Caenorhabditis elegans: one gene and its partners. The protein of the gene in region 3 purifies or fractionates together with the protein of the main gene of each other region. This does not show direct contact. Each region holds a gene or a part of one and is shown on either strand. Other genes may lie near its edges. The genes, in order: ctl-2, ubc-12, marb-1 and etfa-1.

Region 1 (4,732 bases), on a different chromosome or scaffold from region 3:
TGCTGACGTCACATTTTTTAGGGAAAATTTCCCGCATTTTTTGTAGATCAAACCGTGATTGGCGAAAATTTAAAAACGTTGTATCGAAAGGTGTTAGGATATGTGGAATTAGATGTGATAATCAGCTCCTAGGTCAAACTTACCACATATCAAACTATCATTTTTCAGGCTGCTATCCGAGGACAATGCCCAAATCAGCAAGACCATCGGGATGCCCCTCTACGACGGGATGCTTGACTTTGCCCGCTGCGACTACGACACAGCTGCCGAGACTATGTACCCAATTCGCGATAAAGTTGTCCAAATCGGAGGATCTCATGCCCAGCGGGACCTTTTCGTTCAGACACTGATACAGTCTTGCATTCTGAGCAAGGATCCCAAGAATTGGGCTTTGACGCCTGAGCTGCTGGTGGAGAGGGAGACCCTGAAGCATGACTCGCTGTTGGGCCAGAGGCTTGCTGATAAGTTTAGAGCTTTACATCCGCTGTGAGTTGGTGGAGAGTTTAAGTTATATTAACTTTATTTATTTTTAATTATCATATTTTTTATACACAATAAAGCAAGTTATTACAATAAAAAGTACATTTAATTTCTTTTAATTTCAAGAAAGTTTAGATATGAGAGCGAGCCTGTTTCTGGATGAGTGCCTTGACACGAGCTCCAAAATCTGGATGAACCTTTGAAAAGTGATCGATCATTCCCTTAATAATGAAATCATGACATTCCCCGAGCGGCCCTGCAAAGTTCTGGCACATTCTCTCCCGAGCCCCGGTATCCAACACCTTCTCCCAGAATTGACGGGGTTGATCATAGTTGTTGTCATCTCCACTTTCATAACGATCAACATCTCCAGTGGCTGGGAATGTGGTATCCTTGACATCCGGACGAGTCTTTCCATAGTTGAAGCTGTTCGGGAAGAAGTTTGGAGCATGTTGCTGATTGTCATAAGCCATTGCACCATCACGCTGGGTGTTATGAGCACGGGAGCGGTACGGGCAGTTGACTGGAAGCTGGATGTAGTTTGGTCCAAGGCGGTGGAAATGAGTGTCGGTGTACGAGAAGATACGTCCTTGGAGCATCTTGTCTGGCGAGAACTCGATTCCTGGGACGATGTGGGCCGGGCAGAAGGCGGATTGTTCAACCTGGAAATAAAGTACTGTAGGATTACTGTAGTTTTGGAAAAACGTTTTTGTGTTTCCCAAAACTAGCTATTCACGTTGAACTCACGTGGTGTCAGAGTGTCTCATTTCGGCTTGATCTACTTTGATCTACAAAAAATGCGGGAGAAGAGACGCAAGGTTTTCAACTGATTTCGCATGGTTAAGAACTTGCTGAAGTCTCATTTTTTGTGCAAAAAAAATTCCCGCATTTTTTGTTGATAAAAAAAAAACAAACCATAATGGGACAGTCTGGCACCACGTGAGAGCTATCAATTCCGTCTTATGGGCCCTAGTTTCTCGTTAGAGCGCAATTGCATGCCTTACCACACTTCACACGGTAGCACAGAAACTAGATGGCTTGGTTCATGATAATCAGTCTAAAAACCTGTATTGGCTGCTATCTCGAAAACTAACCCAAATTTGGATTTTGCGATGCATATGAAAAATGGCCGCAAGAAAATTTACTCGTTCGGTAGAGCACGTTTGCACTCACCTAGCTTCTGTACCACCCTGACTCGAATAGTAATAGTTGTGGTGAATGAGAAGAACCTGCTCTCTTTCTGTGGTAACCCCAAAAAACTTTGGCTCTGTACAGTACCAAAACACAATCCTACGAGACTACCGTACCGCAAGCTCTCCGGTATAGAAACAGTCCGAGTAGAAAAGGGACCGACTAGGCCACCTTAGCGCGCAACTAGGCGGTCAAGCCCAGCCCATTACCTCAGCGAAGTAGTTCCTTGGATTTCTGTTCAGCACCATCTTGCCGACCTCGATCAGTGGGTAATCACCGTGTGGCCAAACTTTAGTGACATCAAATGGATTGAACTCCCATTTCTCAGCTTGTTCGAATGTCATCACTTGAATGAACATCTTCCATACTGGAAAGTCTCCCTTCTCAATAGCATTGAACAGGTCACGGATGGAATAGTCTGGGTCCGAAGAGGCAAGTTGACCGGCCTTCTCCACGGTGAGATTCTTCACTCCTTGAGTTGGCTGAAGTTGGAAATTATAGACCGAAAAATTTAAATAACATTAAGGACCCACCTTGAAATGGAATTTCACATAGATAGCCTTTCCGTCCTTGTTAACCATCTTGAATGTATGGGATCCGTATCCATTCATATGACGGTACCCATCTGGGAGTCCTCGATCGGAAAACAGGAACATCACTTGATGCAAAGCCTCTGGTCTATGAAGCCAGAAGTCAAAGATCATGTTGGGATCCTTCAGGTGAGTCTGTGGATTACGCTTCTGGGTATGGATAAAGTTCGGGAAGTGGATAGGGTCACGGATGAAGAAGATCGGAGTGTTATTTCCAACCAGATCCCAGTTTCCCTCCTCGGTGTAGAACTTGATCGCAAATCCACGTGGATCACGAGCGGTGTCGGCGGATCCGCTCTCACCACCGACTGTAGAGAATCTAATTAGCAGTGGGGTCTGCTTCCCGACCTTGTTGAAGATATCGGCCTTACAGTACTTGGAGATGTCATGGGTGACCTCGAAGTATCCATGGGCTCCGGCTCCCTTGGCATGAACGACACGCTCGGGGATACGTTCACGATCGAAATGAGCCATCTCATCCATATAAACTACATCTTGCATGAGCATTGGGCCACGCCGCCCGGCGGTGAGCACGGCGGTCTTCGAGTAGATCGGAGCTCCATTTGAAGTTGTGATCACTTGGGGTTTCTGAAACAAGTTACTGTAAATAGTAGTTGTTGTTGTAGAAAATGCGTCTGTGCCTTTAAACTCTAAACTCACTGGATACGTCTCCTTGTAGGTTTTCAGTTGATTATCCGATGGATCGTTTGGCATTTTGGTTCTGAAATTTTAGTTAGGAAATTTAGAATTAAATAAAACTCTGAACAAAAAAATGACCACGACGAGGTGTAATACGGAATATGGGTTGGGAGAGACAAGAGAAACAGAGAAAAAAGAAAGAAGATTGTAGCGTTATCACTGATAAGGAACATGTTGTTGGACACCAGACTACGGCATAGTCTCGCTTATTTTGGACAGGCAAAAAAGTAGGGGGAAAGACAAAAATTAGGTAGGTATTGATTATGGGTCAGGGTATACGGGGAATGGATTGATCTACAAATCTACAGATCTACAAAAAATGCGGGAGAATAGACGCAGAGTTTTCAACTGATTTCGCATGGTTGAGAACGTGCTGACGTCACATTTTTCTGGACGAAAAATTCCCGCATTTTTCATAGATCAAAGCGTAATGGGACAACCTGGCACTACGTGGAAAAGTGGTACCTGTACGCAATTTGTCTACCGTATACCTGAACTTTTGGGCTTGTCGTTTTTATCAAAAACGAGTGGCCCAATATTTTTGTGATGTATATAAAAAATGTCCGAAAAAAATAAACTCTAAATTTTTTGGTCCAAAGCTTTTTTCTTATCTTGCGCCTAAACCTGGTTAAACTCAAATTATCAGTAGAGCGCATTTGCATGGATGTACCACTAGCCGGGCCGCGGGGTGTTGCTGTATGGTGCATATGTGCAAACACCATAACTTACGCGCAAATTTGACAAACTTACTGTCAAAAAGGCGCGCTATAAATAAGCAATATATTGACTATTTTGAATTTTAAAAACAAAAAATAATCCAAAGTTGTCCACGAGCAGTACACAGCGGCTTGTAGAAGTATTGCGCGTCAAATATGGTGCATCGAAAAATGATCATATTTTACGCTCAATTTTCACTTCTACCGAACTGATTATTGATGTTTTCCGGCGATTCTTATACTCCCAGTCGCGGTGCTCTGTACAAGAGATGATGACGTCACATGTTTATGATAAGCGATAAGGGAAACCCAAAAATAAAATAAAGTGTTGTGTCGGTCTCGCAGCGATGAAATTGTTGACCAAATTTTGCAATGTTTTCACCAAAAACTACGGTACCCGGTCTCGAAACGACAAATACTGTAACTTTAAACTTTCGTTGACGCGGATTTTTTATCGATTTTTTTTTTAATTTTGTGTTTTTATTGTTATATTTGAGTTGTTTTCATCGAAAAAATATAAAAAATCGATAAAAACTCCACAGCGACAAAAGTTTGCAACTACAGTACTCTTTAAAGGCGCACATATTTTCGCAATAGATAAAAAACTGTCGTTTCGAGACCCGATACCGTAATTTTGGCGCGAAAATTGCTTTTACAGTCTAACTTAAGTTTTCATCTTTAAAAATTGACTGAAACAAAAAATTTTCCAGATTTTCTTCAAACAGGAAAATGATGACGTCACGTGGCCAATTTTCTGCCTGATAAAACGCTATTTAATTTCCGGCTTTTTTGATTTATGTGCACATAAAATTTCTTATCATCAAAAACCAGAAGAAATACAAAAAAAAGAGTTTATAAATAACGAGATTCTATATACAAAAGTTTGAATATCAAACAATTTAATGCTTCTTCTGGCAGAGCTGATGGCGAAGAGCATTTCCGAAATCCGGATGAACTTTCGTGAACTCTTTGACCATTCCATTTTGAATTTCCTCCAAACAGCCACCCAAATCACTAGCCAAATTCCCAACGAGCCGATCTCTCTCCTCCTCCTTG
Region 2 (3,004 bases), on a different chromosome or scaffold from region 3:
AAAATCTTGGAAAAATGACAATTTTCGCCAATTTAAATTAGTTTACGAAACAATTTTCAGGGAAAATTCGGTCACGAATTTCTCGAATTCGAATTCCGTCCAAACGGATCGCTTCGCTACGCGAACAACTCCAACTACAAGAATGACACGATGATCCGCAAAGAGGCGACAGTGTCGGAATCGGTGCTCAGCGAGCTCAAGCGTATCATCGAAGACTCGGAAATCATGCAGGAGGACGATGACAATTGGCCAGAACCAGACAAGATTGGACGCCAGGAGCTGGAAATTCTGTACAAAAACGAGCACATCTCGTTTACGACCGGCAAAATCGGAGCTCTAGCCGATGTGAACAACTCGAAAGATCCGGATGGTCTCCGCTCGTTCTACTATCTCGTTCAGGATCTCAAGTGCCTCGTCTTCTCGCTCATTGGCCTTCACTTCAAGATCAAGCCAATCTAATTTAATTCCTTCAGACTCTGTTCTATTTTATCCACCAAATCTCTTTAACTTGTTTAATTTATTCGATTTTCTCTTCTCTTCTTAAGTTCTCAAATTTCTCAAGAATAAATTTTATTTCTTTCAAAAAGTACAGTTAGAAAAAGTCTGAGAGGTGGGGGAAAAGTTAGAATCAAAATCAATTTCATAGGGGGGGTCAATTCACAGGCCATTTGTAATCCGATCCGTTGGTCCTTAGCAATATCTAGAAATGTATTCCCGAACACGATGATTGAACGATTCGCGATTCTGACTCCACATCTGGGCGGCTTGAATGTTCAGCGCGTCGTTGAAGTCCATAAGATCGTTGAACAGTGAGACGAGTCCGTGGACGACGTCGGTGAGGTTACGCGTTGGACGCCATCCGTATTGATCCAACGAGTTTTGACGCAAAATCGATAGACAAATCGATCCGTCCTCGTTGATATTTGGATGCCAAACCTTTGTCAGGCACTTAACAACGGGCGGCACGTTGTTGTACTCTGGCGGGACGGTGATCTTGAATCGGAATTTGCCTCCACGATAGATTCCTTCTTGAGGTGTCACGGTGAGTTCCAACTCATGAAGACACGATGTTGATGGGACCTCGAGATGCCACAGCTTTTGCTTCTGATCGCGAAGAGCAGTCTCCAGCTGTTGGAGTTCTGAAAATGTTGTAAAATCAAAATTTTTTATAAAGCAGCCACATACCCTGAGCTAGGAGCTTGTCACGGACGGCGATGCGGGTTTCAAGATACCGACCGTCCTCGTTGTTGCCGTTGATTCGTTTTTGAAGATTGAACATTCTGAAAGCGAAAAATTAAGAAATACGATAATTTTCAGCGATATAGGCGGCGCATACGGAAACATAGAGAAAATAATCGTTTTTTTGGCAAAATTACAGTGTAAAAGGGTCAAAAATCGATGAAAATCTTGTAATTCAGCGAAAAAACGACAAATTACGTGAGAAAATGAAACAATTGCTATGAAAAATGACAGAGAATGAGGAATAAAAGACGCAGCGTTTGCTAACGCTGAAATGACTAAAGGGGGCGGAGCGCGAACGCAAGGCTGGCACACTTTTACCGCAAGTGCCGCACGGTTTCCCACGAGTCGGAGGAGGCAAGCGAAAACGATTCGAATCACACATATTTACGCTCCGGCCTAAAATCGTCATGTCTGGATTCTCTGTTTACGGTTAGTTTTGTTAATTGTAAATTATTCAAGTAGAAAACTGGAATATTCAGCTTTAAAAGCAGATTTTAATCGAGAAAAGCCGAATTTAAAGTCTGGCCTAAAATTTTTATTTTTCTCCAGGCGTTTTTCTATTTATTGTATTTGATTAGGCTGAGATAATTTGAGTTTTTAATAATTTTAATGCATTTTTCAGTCGGAAACGCTCCATTCCAAACTACCGAGGACGACCTTGGCAACTACTTCAGCCAGGCTGGAAACGTCAGCAACGTCAGGTAAGCTTCTCTCCCCGAAATCTCCTCTTCCCGAAACCTCCTGAACGACGACCCGTTAACTCTCAATATGAATCTCTATTTTCAGAATCGTTTGCGACCGCGAGACCGGACGTCCACGTGGATTCGCCTTCGTCGAGTTCACCGAGGAGGCCGCTGCCCAGAGAGCCGTCGACCAATTCAACGGAGTCGATTTCAACGGAAGAGCTCTACGCGTCAACTTGGCTCAAAACAGAAACAACTAATTTTCATATCGGTACTTTGTTACTTGTTTGATCTTTAATGATCTCAATAATAATAAACCCATGAAATCGTTATCATAAATATATATGCTCTATTTTTTTATTTCGAATCTTCATTTGGGGTCAATCTGATGGCAAGCGTTGAGGCTAGAAGCTTGAAGGAACGGCTTCGGTTCGAGCAAGTTTTGAATCCTGGGCTATGCGCAGCCCAATGTGAGCTTACAACTGAAAATTCAAGTTTCAACACTCTTCGCGGTCTTATTTTGGACTAATTCCTCATATTTTCAGCTTGAAATGGAAAAAATCTGTCGAAATCGATGCTATTCGAGGGGCGGGGCCAAAACGCAACCCTGGCACGGTTTTTACGCAACTGCCGCACGTTTTCTCCAAGGCAGGGTGAGCGGAAAAATTAAACCGTCATAAATTTTCTGCTACGGCCTAAAATCGTCATGTCTGGAATCTTCTCTGTTTACGGTTAGTTTTTTAATAATTTATTTTAAGTATTAAACAATCGGAAACTGGTTAAAATAGCCAATAAAACTCGATATTGTCCTGAAATTTTGGGATTTTTCGGAAAAATCGAATTCGCGAAGTTTTCCCTAATATTTTCATTTGAAAAGGCAATTTTAAGTGTTTAGATTCAAATTTGGTTGCGAAATATTTAAATCAATTAAAATTTTCCTTTTTTTTAGTTGGAAACGCTCCATTCCAGACCACCGAGGAGGAGCTTGGAAACTTCTTCAGCAGCATCGGACAAATCAACAACGTCAGGTAACTCTCCCAGCCAGCCCGAGCTTCATGATTTCTAACGCAATATCTCTT
Region 3 (3,185 bases):
CATACTATATTCACTTTGTGCTTCTTCATTCTCTCGTTCTGACCAACCCATATTTTGCCGTCGTTCCACTTAGAAAACACGTTCCTCGAATCAGGAAAACATTTTTTTCGTCTGTCTGTTTGAATATTTGGGTATTTTTCTTCTCTTTTTCTCGATTCATTTCTGCATATTTCATCAACAGCTCGCGAATCCAATCATCATCATTTTGTTCGTCACAACAGATCAGATCACCCACCCATTTTATTGTCTCTGCTTCCAATTTATTTGTTGCCTCTGCCTTTTTCATTGCCACGTGGTGGCATGTGTGTTGTACAAACCTGACTTTTCTGAAAAAAAAAACTGAAAGTTTTCTTTGCACCATCGTCACCATCATTTTCGCAAACTACAAACATTGGAGGTCAATGGACTAGCGGGCTCTACTGTGTGAGCCACTTGAAATTTTCAAAGCGCATTTCGTTTCCGCGAATTTCGGAATGTTTACCCACACTTTTGAAACATGATGTGATGGTCAAACGGTGGCAAGGAGATGCGATGAAAGAAACGTTTTGCAAAAAGACTCAAATTACCACCATAATTTATGGGACGAAAACCGGTTAAATGCTGTAATTACACATAGTGAGGTACTAAACACAAATCTACATGGCAAAAAAAGAAGCCGTAAACGGAAAACATTTAGAGCTTCGACAACGGGACGAGGCCAGTATCAGGGGCTGAAGTAAGGATCAACTTCTGAACTTCCTTGAACTTTGGATGATCCGATCCACCGACAAGTCCGAGAATGGTAGCTTCAGAAGTTGTCAAGATAGCTCCAGCTTGTTCCATCTGTTTGAAAGCGAAATGACGATCAGTGTGACTGCGGCTGCTGACAGCGTCCACCACGACATGAACGTTCAAGCCACGTTCCAAAAGATCGTATGTAGTTTGAAGAACGCATACGTGTGCTTCGATTCCGACAAGGATCACATTTTGAACTTTCTTCAAAGTGTCTTCAGTTGGAGGAATGCACATGGAAAACTGAAATTTTTGGAATAAGACTGAATTATGAACAAAAATCTGAAAATCTACTTTCGTCTTATCAAAGATCGGAGTATTCTCGGCGAGACCTTCTTTGAGAGTTGGAACTGTGTGTCCGAGACCCTTTGGATATTGTTCAGTAACAATGGTTGGAATACTCAGGATTCTGGCAGCATCGATCAATCTACGCGAAGTTGTAATGATTTCTGGGAAGTATTTGATATTTGACCTGAAAATAATTAAATAAATTATTTTTGCTCATAAACTAGTTTCTTTCAAAACTTACGCGAACTTCTCTTGAAGATCACAGACGAAAAGAGCACTGTTCGTTGGGTTGATACGTGCGATCAGCTTACGCGCAGCCATCACCTGAGGAACAGAAATCAATAAAAAGTTGAGTGATTCGAAATTAAATAAATAAAAAACAAATGCAAACATCCACGTAAAACACAAGGATTTGACAAAAAAAGATAAATAAATGGACGGCTTTTCAATTAAAAAAAAATTTCAGAGAACAAAAATTAGTGTAAATTTACGGTAAACAACGCGCGATTCGTAATCTCGGAGTGTCGTTGCTTGAGTTTGTGGCGGTTTTTCAAATTTCAAATTTTTAAAATGTCTACTTTCCTGTTCAAATACTGATTTTCTACGTATTATTTATAATATATTAATTGTAAAATGTTTAAAGGCTCTCCAGGACAATTATAACATTAACAATTTGTGTTCACACCCTAAAAAACATAAATTCACCTGTTGATTCCGTGAATTTTCCCAAAAGGATGAAACACTGCACTGCATAAAATAGTTATATTTAATAACCTATTGATCAATTGATCACATTGCCCTGTATGGATAATTTAGGCAGTAGAAAGTGTGGACTACAGTCACTAATGCCAGGAGGCAATTCCAGCTCTTATTGATTCACGAACGCGGCTGAAACACTTGACCCGTTGACTAAGACGACCGGCTCATTCATTCGTTTGTTACTTATCTTATAAGACAATCTTTTTATTTTATAATGTCGTGGTTAACTAATATCTTTCAAGACGGGAATATGACACTTTCAATGGATAATTTCCCGATTCTATTCGGGTTACTGTACGCGGTTACTGTAGCTCTGTTAATGTTGCAAATAGTTGAGGAAAAGGCAAAGGTAAATTTTGTTGTTTTTTTTTATATTTTTGAATATTTTATTAGCATTATCAATGAAATTCTCGAGAGTCTGAAAATTTCTCAATTTCAAAAGTAAATTCCAATAATCGTGTTCCCCTCAAGCTATTTATTGGAGCCCCTCATAAAAAATTAAGAGGTGTTTAAAGCTGAGAAGATTTATTAAATTTTAAAATAGACAGTAGAACGGATCGAATTTTTTTTGGGAAAATGTGTTTTTTTTGAAAAAAATGCGAAATATTTTATTGGAAAATGTTTGACTTTAAAAAAAAAAACTTTCGAAAATTTGGTGAAAATTAACTAAATTTTCTTTGGAAATTTTCCCAGTTTTACTTTCTAGAGGTTCACTAAATTCCTGAATGCATGCCAAAATGTATAGAGCTAGGTGGTAGGCAGGCATGTAGGCAGGCATCTTGACATTCTTTTTTATATACAACGTTTGCAGGCTCATTACCAACTAAAATTAATGTGCGAGTCTAGTGAGGAAATGATTAAAGAGCACCAGAAGGAGATGAAAATAGAGAGAAGTAAAATCAGCAATCATTTAATCAAAATTCGAATGCATCAAAGAGATTTTGTGGCAAAAATTGGTGGACTTCAGAGAAAACTGAAAGAGCGAAACGAGGTGATAAAGGAATTGAGCCAAAAACTGGAATCATTGGAATTTGCGGAGGAAGATGCAAATGAGTTGGTTGATGATTTGGTACAAGCCAGAAAGATTATTAAAGAGGTTCGGATTTCTTACATGGAATTAAATTTTAAAACTATAATTTCAGAAAAACGAAATGATTGAACTGCTTAAATTCGAGATCGAGTTCAACAAAACAAATTTCCAGAATGACTTAAAGAGTGCGTTGCAAGGAAGTGAAGAAGAAAATAAGGAAAATAATAAAATTAAAAGTCTTTTTAAAGTTAATAATATTTAATTTGTCCATATAATTTTGAAATAATTTTTGATTAACTTAATAAAGTATGGCAAGGAAAAACTGTATGTATCAGGT
Region 4 (4,552 bases), on a different chromosome or scaffold from region 3:
GGCTGACCTCTGGATCCATTTTTTCTTTTTTGAAAAATATTGTTTTTATGTTTGGCCTTTTCGCATTCTAATACAGGTCCAACTTTCCGTTTTAAATATTCGTTGTTTCTTTTTTTTTCAATCGCCGTCCATTTTAAAATGAAATTCTCATAATGTTCTCTGCTGCGTCGGACTTTTTTGTCGATCTCTTTGTTATTCCAGCCCATCAGTTTCATCATTTTTATTCTTCAAAAATTTGAGAAATCTTTCAGTTTCTTGTTCCCCCCAATCCTCCCCATTCGCTTTTTTTTGCATCCCGCAGCGGGTATCTCGTTTTGATTAATAGAAGAGTAATTTCCCAATCACAAAACCATCACCAGGAATGTTTCAAATTTTCCAGTATTTATCTATCAATTCGTCACCTCACTTGTCTCGCATTTTCTCGTTGTTTCCGTGCTTCTTGTGAATATGATATTTGATACAAAATTCTCATTTCGGTTTTCTCCAGTGTTGCTCTTCTCAATTGTTCTTTATGAATCGCGTGATAACGCTCATAAAACAGATTTGGCTGTTTATTCACATTGAAAGCATAAAAACGAAAATCACAATATCCCGATAAACCGAGTTACTAAATAGAATACAATAATTTAGAAGACACATCTACATTAGGCTATTTGAAGGTATTCATGGAAGAGCAGCAGTCAGTTCTGGGACGGCCTTGAACAAATCGGCTTTCAATCCAATATCAGCGACCTGAATTATTTAGAATTAACAATTTTGTGTTAAATTCAATTTTTACCTGGAAAATTGGTGCATCAGGATCCTTGTTGATGGCGACAATCACCTTTGAGTCCTTCATTCCAGCCAAATGTTGAATGGCTCCAGAAATTCCGATTGCAATGTAGAGTTCCTATAAATTAATTCATTTTTCTTTGCTTCTCACTTAATGGATTTCTTACCGGCGCTACAATCTTTCCAGTCTGACCGACTTGCATGTCATTTGGTACGTATCCAGCATCAACAGCGGCACGGGATGCTCCGACTCCGGCTCCGAGCTTATCAGCAAGATCATAGATGAGCTTGAAATTGTCTCCACTCTTCAATCCACGTCCTCCAGAAACGACGACTTTGGCAGTTGCAAGATCAGGACGTTCAGACTTGCTCAATTCTTGGCCAAGGAATTCGCTGAGGTCGGTTTTGATATCAGCGGATGGGGCTGAATAAAGACTTTTGACAAAGATCAGGATTAAATGTGGACTATCAATTGTGGGATAACTGTCTCGAATTGTCCTACTCAGTCATAAAAAATAAAAATAAACAAGAAAAGTAGGCTCGGCCAGTTTCTGGGGGTTCGTTTTTCAGGCAAATTTTTACGTACTTTCTTTCATATATTACCCAGATGCGATATTTTGCGATTTTATCTCTAATACGGCACCCGGTCTCTAAGCGGCAGATTTTCTTAAATGAAAATGTGTTTGCGTCTTTGAGGGCTACTGTAGTTGGTTGTTGCAAGCTTTTCTTCGACTTTTTTTTTGAAGTTTTCGTCCGTTTTTAACATTTTAAAATTTCAAACTTTGAAGAAACAGAAGAAAAACTCGGAAAATCTCAGAAAATCCGCTAACAAGTAAAAACTACAGTACCCCTTAAAAGCCATACACTTATTCGAGTTCGAGTAAAACTGCCGCTTCGAGAGCAGGTACCTTATTCTTGGAGCAAAATCCTTCGCATCTTCGCATCTGGATAAAACGATTTTCTATGTTACCATTTTCAACAGCGCCGCTTCCTCCTTCCTTTGCTGGTTCGAACGATGTTCCACGGAAGGTGAGAAGCTTGATCGGTGCGGTGCTCTTCACTTTTTTAACTGCATTACCAGCATACAAAGTGCGAGTGAAACTGTCAGCCGAATGAACTTCAGTGACGTCAGAGATTGAAGATACGTCAAGCTTAGCGGCGACTCTTGGAATAACTCCACGTCCGAATGCTGAAGATCCAGCGGTGATGGCGGTGAAATTGAATTGTTTTTGAGAAGCAAGAATAACTGGAGCCACTCGTTCTGAAAATACGAGCATAATAGAAAAATTAATTCGGTTTATATTACCTGGAAGATTATTCTTCAGCTTCTCATCTTGAGCCACAAGAACTCTTTTCACTCCATTCACTTTTGCAACTTGTTCAGCAACCTTTGTTGCGTTGGCTCCAGTGACGAGGACAGATACTTCATTTCCGAGCTGAAATAAAATTAGTTAAAATAGTTGGAAGCGCGCTACAAAATAGGGTCTGTACTCTTGTAAATAACTAACAAGATTCGAAACATGACTACAACTAATACTTGGAGGGAACAATGATCATAGATCACATTTTGCATTGCGATTCGCTTGAAAATTATACAATTTATAAATATATTTTTTTAATTCCGTCTGTACTCACTTTAGAAGCAGCAGTGATAGCATTGAGAGTGATTGGAGCAAGCTTTGTCTCATCGTGCTCGGCGACAACAAGAGTGCTGTTCAGACGGGAGGCCTGTAATTTAATATTTTTTATAATTCTATTCTTCAATTTATGGAATTAATTTATGAGTCATTTACTGAATATTCAATTCGAAAACCTTGGAAATCGAAAAATCATATACCCACAGCTGATTCTCACAAAAAACTTACATTGCTGATCAAGCCAGCACGGCTAAGGACAGTTCTTGCAGAGAGCATTTCGGCTGAAAATATCATAAATAAAAAAAAACGTTTAAAAGAAAAAAAAAACATTAAAAGAACAACAAATTTACGTGGAACGATTGAAAAAAACGGGCACTACACCAAGAAAATAAAGAAAATGATAAGAAGGATGGGTGAGAGATAGATACAGAGAGACCGAGATAGAAAAGAAAAACAAGAAAATGATGGGTCAAAGTACGCGCGCGGGTAGAAATTGCCAAAATTAATTTAAATAAAAACTTGATAAAAGGTTTTCCTAATGTGTAACGTGAAAATCATAAAATATATTTCCGCATTTAATTTTATAAATTAAAAAAGGTATTATGCGTGACAGCCGATTATTCTCGATTACAATCAGATAAAGGGTTTCGTTGCTCACAAATTCAAACAGAATCACTTCTCGTCTTTCGCTCAGTCTCAACAACTCGAAAGGTTTTCAAGCAACGCCTATCGAATCAAGAATGGCAACTTCCGTCGACAGCCGTACTGCGCAGTCAGAGACCAACACTGCCGTCATCCCACCGATGAGCGATTCCGAGCTAAACACTGCTATCAATTCGACTCTCAGATCTCGTGGAAAAGCGTCTACTCGTACTGCATTGAGTAAGTTGTATTATGCCGAAGCTTCGATGAATACCGATCCTTTCAGGCACTGCAACCGCTGTTGAAAATGGACCAAGTTATGAAAAAATGATTTCGGCGTTCACTTCAGTCGCTGTATCCTACTTCGTCTTGGCTATTTCGTTTTACATTGAAACAACTGTCAGCTTGTTCCACCTCGCTTATTTCTCGTACAGAAATCCGGCAGTTTCGAAGGATCTCATCAAAACTGCATTCCATCTTTTGAAGACTTCCTACGACAACAAATTGCTGACATTTGCCGAAATCATCGAGACTACACAAAACAGTATGATCAAGCCAATGGCTCATCAGAATAAACAACACTTTTTGGAGGAAAACCAGCGTACCGCACAGTTGCAGACGATGAAAACATCAACTGCTTTTTCGCGTTAAGAAGAAAGAGAACCGGACATTGAAATTCAGAATGAATAAAGATTTATTCTACAACTATTATCTACTTATTATTGCTTTGCTAGAATCTCCTTTTCCAGAGCAGAAACTCTTCCAGCTGCTTTCCATTCTCGAGTGTGATTCCAATCAACGAAAATCATTGTGGCGGCGAGGAGGGGCCAAGAGTAAATAGGCAGACCTCGTCGGAATTTTGTCCAAACGGATGTGACAGCAATCATGATCTCAAAAATAGAAAAACATTGAAAACTTTGATGAACTGCATAACAAATAAATAAATGATTGAATGAGCGGCGTGCGCCTTACACTCACTCTTGGCGCATTTCCCGATCTGCTGACGCGTTTCAAGTTTTTTCATAGAAACCGTAACCTTTTGTATATTTCAAAGATATTAAATTGTTTCTGACACATTGGGCATGAAAATATTAAAAAAGGTAATACGTAGGAATATCACAGCTTTATTCAATGAAATTAAGAGCTAAATAAATTCTATCGTACAATAAATATGATGAATTTATGAGAAAATATTAGTCCAAAGTGATAATTTCTGGCTTGTCGAAGCGTTGAACCATGAAATGGATGTTCTCGTTGTACCCGAATTTGTTGTAGAATGGGATAAGCTCTGTTTTGCATTCCAGAGAAAGTTTATAAACTCCAAGACTTCTTGCCATTTTAACGAGAGCTTCGTTGATAAGAATTCCCAGCCTTTTTCCACGCATTGTCAAATCAACGACAACATCTTCGACTCTTCCACGAAGTCCACATTCATGAATGTACTTGAGCTCGACTACAAGAGTGGCAGCACCAACAATTTTTGAAGAACTGAAATAGTATTT

Evidence for each region.
Region 1: the proteins of marb-1 (region 3) and ctl-2 fractionate together in Caenorhabditis elegans (co-fractionation; one large-scale study listed by BioGRID). This does not show direct contact.
Region 2: the proteins of marb-1 (region 3) and ubc-12 fractionate together in Caenorhabditis elegans (co-fractionation; one large-scale study listed by BioGRID). This does not show direct contact.
Region 4: the proteins of marb-1 (region 3) and etfa-1 fractionate together in Caenorhabditis elegans (co-fractionation; one large-scale study listed by BioGRID). This does not show direct contact.

Annotation. Positions count from the first base shown.
Region 1 is NC_003280.10:14,299,046-14,303,777, forward strand, and holds ctl-2 (Peroxisomal catalase 1), read right to left. Parts: upstream 2,983-4,732; 5' UTR 2,976-2,982; coding exon 2,922-2,975; intron 2,850-2,921; coding exon 2,205-2,849; intron 2,154-2,204; coding exon 1,881-2,153; intron 1,143-1,880; coding exon 612-1,142; 3' UTR 511-611; downstream 1-510. Other genes in the region: Y54G11A.7 (Tetratricopeptide repeat protein 38), read left to right, coding at 169-490; ctl-1 (Catalase-2), read right to left, coding at 4,576-4,732.
Region 2 is NC_003279.8:11,909,602-11,912,605, reverse strand, and holds ubc-12 (NEDD8-conjugating enzyme ubc-12), read right to left. Parts: upstream 1,287-3,004; 5' UTR 1,280-1,286; coding exon 1,186-1,279; intron 1,140-1,185; coding exon 691-1,139; 3' UTR 553-690; downstream 1-552. Other genes in the region: mag-1 (Protein mago nashi homolog), read left to right, coding at 61-459; rbm-3.2 (RRM domain-containing protein), read left to right, coding at 1,650-1,671, 1,865-1,943, 2,029-2,185; rbm-3.1 (RRM domain-containing protein), read left to right, coding at 2,632-2,656, 2,875-2,953. UniProt on the Caenorhabditis elegans protein: Accepts the ubiquitin-like protein NEDD8 from the uba-3-ula-1 E1 complex and catalyzes its covalent attachment to other proteins. Plays a role in male tail tip morphogenesis.
Region 3 is NC_003282.8:12,207,628-12,210,812, forward strand, and holds marb-1 (Isochorismatase domain-containing protein 1), read right to left. Parts: upstream 1,384-3,185; 5' UTR 1,381-1,383; coding exon 1,301-1,380; intron 1,244-1,300; coding exon 1,066-1,243; intron 1,015-1,065; coding exon 673-1,014; 3' UTR 561-672; downstream 1-560. Other genes in the region: F35G2.3 (uncharacterized protein), read left to right, coding at 2,081-2,167, 2,630-2,914, 2,961-3,110.
Region 4 is NC_003279.8:7,700,566-7,705,117, reverse strand, and holds etfa-1 (putative electron transfer flavoprotein subunit alpha, mitochondrial), read right to left. Parts: upstream 2,690-4,552; 5' UTR 2,685-2,689; coding exon 2,637-2,684; intron 2,500-2,636; coding exon 2,407-2,499; intron 2,208-2,406; coding exon 2,078-2,207; intron 2,033-2,077; coding exon 1,742-2,032; intron 1,196-1,741; coding exon 939-1,195; intron 890-938; coding exon 779-889; intron 733-778; coding exon 664-732; 3' UTR 529-663; downstream 1-528. Other genes in the region: T23G11.1 (uncharacterized protein), read left to right, coding at 3,149-3,290, 3,337-3,701; T23G11.11 (uncharacterized protein), read right to left, coding at 3,770-3,937; gna-2 (glucosamine-phosphate N-acetyltransferase), read right to left, coding at 4,244-4,538.